Linked DNA regions of Nothobranchius furzeri. The protein of the gene in region 1 purifies or fractionates together with the protein of each later gene. This does not show direct contact. Links are inferred from orthologs where the notes say so. Each region holds a gene or a part of one and is shown on either strand. Other genes may lie near its edges.

Region 1 (3,521 bases):
TGTGTGTTTGGCTGGGGCTGCAGGGCGAGGGGGTGCCGGCTGTCCACTTCTCAGGAGACGGCAGATTTGTTGAAACTGACCTTGATTAATGTCGGAGGAATTCCTCAAGCATAAACAATCTCACGCCTGCCCACATTCATTCCCAGATGTAAATGCGCAGACAGTGGGTGACATTGACCAGTATCAGCACAAAGTCGGGCTTCATGCGTCCTTGTTTCCTTGAGAGCAAACCGGTGACCGAGGAAATCTGTAGATGGCATCCAAACGATGACGAGCACCGTCTGCATCCCTGTTTTTTATTCAAAAATGCATTTCCTCAACTGGAACCTGCAGGATGACGATGTAGAATAAAAAAATCTGAATTTTTGTATAATTTTTGAAATAATGAACCTTCTTGTCAATATTTCTTTATTCAGCAGCAACTCTGACCTTTATTGTGTCCTTGGGGCATTTTGATTGTTGCGGATTAAGTTCCTCTGACTGTTTATATGGTTCACTAATTAGCTTTTTTTTATTATTATCAATTGAAGTCATAAACTCAAACAAATGACAGAGTAGTTAATCCATATCAACCAGTAAATGTGTTAAAGTTAAGTTTTAAAAATGTAGTTTTTATGTAATTAAAGGTGCTGAGCACTCTTAATCAGTGGTCTCCAGTAGGATGCACCAGAATCAGTAAGTATAATTCAGCAGGAGGAGAAAATGGCTTCAGGCGGCAGGTTGTGGGGTCTTCGCCTCCTATTGGATAACAGCAACACGACTGTACCACTGACTCAGTTTGCTCTGCAACGTGGCTGTTTTATCTCCTCAAATAACACAGTCCTGGAGGAGTTCTGCTGTGTGGTCAAGATGCTAATGCTAACTGTTAGCTTCTACTGGCTGGGATGTTTCCTGGATGCTAAAACAACAGTCTTCCCAGTCAAGATGGGTGAGTCCATGAATATTAAGGGACAGTGTGACGTAGATCTATCAGGCGTTTCACCATCTATTTACTATCTGAGGCTAATACAGGAGATAGGTGTAGGAGACTATTTTCATGTTCAGCCTGTATAAAAAACTCACAGTGACTCCTTAATTATAATCGGATAAAAAATATTTTTCAGGGATCCACACCTGCCAGAAAACAAGTAACAAATAATATTTATTATCTTAGTTTTTTTAACGAGATCCAATAAAGTTTGTGTGAATTAGCAGTTGTTTTAGGTTCAGTCAGTAAATCTTTATATTTGTAAAAGTTTTTAAAATTCTGGTATTTTATTCCCACTTTATTTGGTCAAATCAGCCTAAAGCTGGCTAAATGTGACAGATATTCAGATTAGTCCTCCTGGTTTATTTTTAGATTTCCATAAAAAATATTTGGATCATTTCTTATTTAGCGTCTGGGCTAATTTCTGATCTGATCAAAAATCAAACAAAACAAACGCTCTGTTTCATTTTGAGTGATAATAACACTTTTATTACCCAATAAACCTGCTTCTGAGCTCATCTCTGGCCTGTTCTTTCTCCTCGTCGGGCTGCAGGAGCTTTGACCGTGCCACAGAGGAGTGGGGGCGGTTCCACTGCGCCCTGAGGGACATTTCTCAGTGGCTCACAGAGACGGAGACACTTCTGTCTGAAAGCGTCGGCCCAGACGGTGACCTGGACCTGGACTCTGCTCGGCAGAGCCAAGAGGTTGGTGATGCTCAGTGATCTGTGTGATTAATGGATGCTCTTCAGGAAACAGAACAAGTTTTTGTTTTTCAACGATGTGCTGGCTCCTCAGCTCTAAAAGCAAGACATCAGCGTGTGTTTATGTAATTAGCATCCAGAGTGCAGAAATTTTAGATTTGAGACAAAAGCTGTGAGATAATTAGTTACGTCAGACAAAAGGTGATTGCTTTTATTCCCCAAATGGACACGATACGTTTTAGGCATTAAATTGGTTCGTTGTTCGAGCAGAAATGAGAAGTGAAGAAAAAGACACGGAGGGGCCTTTAACTTTCATTTCCCAGGGGGATTAAATCCTCCAACTCGGCGGCGTTATCGCTGACAACGCCACCGCCTTTAACACCGTTATCGTTTTGATTTGCAAAGCTGGAGCCACTCTCCTGCCTGATTTTTCAGGTGTTTTCTCAGCAGCTGAGAACGAAACGAGGGATCAAGTGGAAGGGAACTGAAAGATCTATTAGCTGACTCATCCTTCTGCCACCTGTACACTCACTCACCTTTACGGCTTTGTCTCGCCACGTTAAATCTCCAGCAGAGGAACGTAGAGATTTAGCAGCTTAAATATGGAATCGCAGCAAATCACGCCGTTTAGTGATTCAACGTTAATGCTTGAGTGTGTGATTAGTCTGTTTGACTGAACCCTAATTTCACCGTTTTCATTTGTGTCTTTTAATTGTGTCTCAGGAGCTGGAGGACGGCCTCGCCAGTCACCAGCCCATCCTCGCTGGACTGACTCGCTCTGGGGAGCAGATCGTTGGGAAGCTTTCATCTCCAGATGGGCCCCTGCTGGAGGAGAAGCTGGAGATTCTGGGTCGGCGTTGGAGAGCCGTTAACCGCCAAGTTCTGGACAGACAGCGCAGGTATCCGCACGGAGGAGTTCTGCCATCACCGGCTGTTTATCCGTCCAGTCGATTAGTCTGTAGCAGCAATTTAAATGGAAATTTTAGGAATAGTCCTGTAACCTCGAGGAAATGTAGGTCCTATTTTGTGTGTGTGTGTTTGTGTGTGTGTAGGTTAGCTGGAGACGATCCAGCTCTGTCTGACCTGGTGAAGAGGAGTGAGGAGCTAGCTGTGTGGCTGGAACAGGCAGAAAACGCTGTTTGCTTCCTGCCTGTTTCCACTACTGACAAAAACCTTAAAGATCTCAAGGTACAACCAAACTAAGAAGCACGGTTTCGTTTTATCCACCCACCATCCTCGTGGTGCTTGGACTCCTGGTTCTTGGTGAATTGAAGGATTTGTAACTTTTCCTTGCAGACTCTCGCTGAGGAAATGGACACTCAGAACGAACGCCTTGGTTGGCTGAACAAACACGCTCCCCACATCTTAGCTAGTCCCAGTTTGAGTCCTCAGGACAGAGACATGAATGTTGGGAAGCTGAGAGCCATCAACCTCAAGTGGAGCAAGGTGAAGCAAAGTTACACTTCCAACTTCTAAATGAGCTTTTTATTACTTCTAAGATGCTTAGACCTTCTGTCGCTACAAGCACCAGATTTTCTACTCTTGTTATATTTTCCTCCTTTTCCTGATGTCTTAAATACTTCCTCTCATTTTCCTTTGATCTTCCTCTTTGCAGGTGACTCACGAGCTACTGGACAAGGTGGGGGAGGTGGAGGCCAACCTGCAGAGTCACACGGTGTTCCAGGAGGGGATGAACAAGCTGACGGATTGGGTCGTCATCACGAACCAGACCATCGCGACCCGAGGCCTGAATCCTGGCCAAGCTCAGGTAAGACAACTTGAATTCATTATAAGAACTAAAGTGCTCGAAAATCCATACATAATTTACTCAGATGCATCAAATAATTATTTTG
Region 2 (3,521 bases), on another chromosome or scaffold:
AACAAGGCTGTTTCCGATAATTATGAGGTCCCAAACTCTAATCTTGAATTTTAAATTTTGCTGAAAGCAGCTGTGCATTTTGTTTTCTTTCCCACATCGATGAACAACAGCGACTTTCCGCGTGATGGCGGCTCACTTCGCCCTTCGCAGTGGGAGATTTTCTCCTGTAACAGGATGTGATCAAGTGAAAACAGAGTAATGACAGAGTGAGATGATTCCTATTAGGTTTTTTGTCTCGTTTTACTTCCCAGACTGGTTCACTTCCATAATTATGCTGGTTTTTCCCACCTGTGTCCTGTCTTTGTTACAGCCCTGTCCTCTTGTCTCCCTTTTTCATTTCAGAGATTCAGCACTGATGTGAAAATAGTAGGAGTCTCAAATAAACCAGTTGTGGTAGGAAAAAGAAAAGAAATGGAAAGTGGCCAAAGGACAGAATATCTCATTTTCCCCAGGAGAGCCGATGATGGGAGGGAACAGTAGCTAAATAAAAACTAAAGATTGAAAATGAAACTAACTAGGAGAAAGTCTCACACACAGAAAAGAAACAAACTGAACTGGAGAACACGGACCGAGTGAAAGAGGAAGAAGTGGTAGTAAATCACTCATGTGTAACCCCACGCTGTTTGACCGAGCCAGTCAAATTACCAAACCATTAGCTTAATGACACCTCCTAACACTCCACCCCCACTGAGAACTGTCTGAGCGCTACTTCTAATGCCTTTCCAAAAGGAAAAATGGGTTTAGAAAGACTGAGCGAATACACTTTAAGACAGATGGAAATTGTAGACCTGGGGGCAGATATTAAAGAGCAGAGGAGGAGTGACAAACAAGAGCAAAGACTATCCGTTCTGATTAGATTCCCATGATAAAATCATCCCACTCTGACTTAAACCCACACAAGGGGTTTATTGCATTTTCACCTTTTTGGTATGAAGGAAAGTAAAAAGATTCACTTCAGAGCTAAAACATCCCCTAACATTAAAATGCATCATGGGACATTACAGTTTTATTGCAACAGTTTTCAGCAGATCTCTGTTCCGTGGAACAGTAGGAATCTGTTGGATTGCCTTCAACAAACTGAATCCCCAACAATTTTGAAACGTTGTTGGTTATACAATTTCAAAGGTTGAAAAAGAAAACGCTGTTAGGTGATTTTAGTCAAAAGAAATGAATGAATAATTCTGACTGAAAGCAGGAGATTATGTAAAAGCCACGAGTGGAGTTCAGAGTCCTTTCTGGGTTTGAGCTGTAGAGAATCAGTCACTAAAGGGCTGCAGAGCGTCCATCGTCTTGTGGTTTGGGTCAAGACTAAAGTTGGTTTGTATCTAAAATCCTTCCGAGCATTCATCAAGATGTTTTCTGATAATTTCACTCATGCTTGACATCGTTGTTTTAGAAATTTTATTGACTATTTGATGCATCAATCAACCATGTACTGGGCGATGATTGGTTTGAGCTCCACGCGAGAATGGGGGGCAGTATTTGCTGCCTATCGGCCAATGGTTGAGGCTTTTGCCTCAGCAGAGGGTGTGACACTTCCACTGTTAGATCAGGTACTGTATATGTGAATTATGTAGATCAGTTGTTTCCAACCTTTTCCCACAAGAACCCCCTTACCTGTGTCCAAGACAAGCCAGGACCCCCAACGCCTACCTACATACACACATTAAAAATGCTTAGTTGCACGCTTTATGCTGATATGCAGAGTTTTGACTCTGACTTGTGATTATACTATTAGAAGTAGGGATGCATCAATACCACTTTTTTTTCTCCCTAAACCGATACGATACCGATACTTGGATCTGAGTACTCACCAAAACCTATACTGATACTTTTAACACAAAAAAAAATGCAATGAATTGGAATACAGGTTTTATTTTCTTCTCTGCTTTCAACAGGAAAAGACTGTGAGGTAGATAAAAAATAAAATATATTAATAGAAGTTGTGACAGAAATGACAAGTTTCAGCAAAGCCACTTTCAGGCAACTGCATCGGTGTCGGTTAACTTTTACAGATACCGACACTGGTATCGGCCCAATACCGATACCAGTGTTGTTGCATCCCTAATTAGAAATGCTGCTGATATTATATTAATGCTATATTATTATTATTTTTTTTACAAATATCATATTGGTAACCTCACAACCTTAGTACAGACTAAATGTTGGGAGCTTTTGGAATGTTGTGGGGATCTCCTTGGGGGTCCACAGATCCCAGATTGGGAACCACTGATGTAGCCCCAAAATCTGATGCAAATATGACGATGCTAATTGAGATTATGGGTAAAAGAGAGGCATTTGAAGTTCATTTTGAATGTTTGTTGATGTAGGACATGTTGTGGACTAACTATTTTCATTGGACTCTTGTAAAAAGAAAGGCTTTGTTTGAATTGGCTCTATTCTGTCAATGATGCAAGGTGAGTTAGTCATTGTTTTTATTTCTGAGTGGTTTGACTAAATAATTTAATGTGTCTACAGTTATGGTTGTATCCTTGATTGGCATACTTCATTAGAATAACAGGATTCATAGTCACAAGACTGACGAGTAAAGAAAAGTGCTTTTATGAAAACTGAACGGCGATGGGTTAGTGTTAGATTGGCCCATTGACCTGACCTATGTTCAGAACCCAAACACACATCTAAAGTATTAATCTTATTCATGTTGGGTTAATCAGGACATCCAGCATGATTTGACCTACACATTTCACATTTCTAGATTTAAAACACAAGTTTCCTGTGCTTCCTCTGAATCTCACCAGCCCGTTTCATCGTTTTAAAGGCTAAACTGATTCAACATCATCTTTATTAACAGGAGGATGAAAATCCTGAGGGATGTCACATCCAGGAGTGTGGCTCGTGTGTTTAACATTGTGAGTTTCCACCTACCTGTTCTCCGGATCAGGTTTGGTCATGGCTCGTGTTGCATAACACATCTTCAACGGTATGTACCTCCTGTCACTGTTCAGTGACAGGGAGGGAAGGGTAGGAGAGCTGGGAGAGTCGGATGAGAAGGGGGAGGTGATGGTAGGGCTGCTGGGACGGGGAGACTCAGGAGGAGGAGTCTCCCAGCTGATCTCTGACACGGGAGAGCCCTTTCTGACGTAAGGTGTAGCCTCACGCATGTATTTCACTGGAGACAAAGAGAGAAACAGATTTTTTGTTTCACCAGCAGTAAAAACAATGAGAATTCAACATGTAAATAATATTCTGAATAGAGTTCCACTGCTATTGGTCTTTTCTAATGCTGATGAGAGAAGGCTGCTGTTGTGACCTTGGGCAAAACACTTAATCCGCCTTGCCTGCTGGTGGTGGTCGGAGGGACCGGTGGCACCAATGTACGGCAGACCCGCCTCTGTCAGCACCCCCCAGGGCAGCTGTGGCTACATCGTAGCTCATCACCACCAGCAGTGTTCTGCCTGAATGCGTTCATTGAACGATCGTTCATGAATTTGTTCTTTTTTTTTTGTGAACGTGAACTGAACTCGTTTGTATTTTGCCTGATGAACGTAAAAGTGAGCGTG

What was found. The genes of interacting proteins can lie anywhere in the genome.
Region 2: the proteins of utrn (region 1) and sntb1 purify together in Homo sapiens (affinity purification with mass spectrometry; 3 studies listed by BioGRID and IntAct, with this or other methods). This does not show direct contact. The link is inferred for Nothobranchius furzeri from reciprocal best matches to the Homo sapiens genes UTRN and SNTB1.

Annotation. Positions count from the first base shown.
Region 1 is NC_091742.1:4,149,554-4,153,074, reverse strand, and holds part of utrn (utrophin), read left to right. Parts: intron 1-1,520; coding exon 1,521-1,671; intron 1,672-2,391; coding exon 2,392-2,567; intron 2,568-2,720; coding exon 2,721-2,856; intron 2,857-2,964; coding exon 2,965-3,114; intron 3,115-3,283; coding exon 3,284-3,436; intron 3,437-3,521.
Region 2 is NC_091745.1:41,759,597-41,763,117, forward strand, and holds part of sntb1 (beta-1-syntrophin), read right to left. Parts: intron 3,131-3,521; coding exon 2,887-3,130; intron 1-2,886. UniProt on the Homo sapiens protein: Adapter protein that binds to and probably organizes the subcellular localization of a variety of membrane proteins. May link various receptors to the actin cytoskeleton and the dystrophin glycoprotein complex.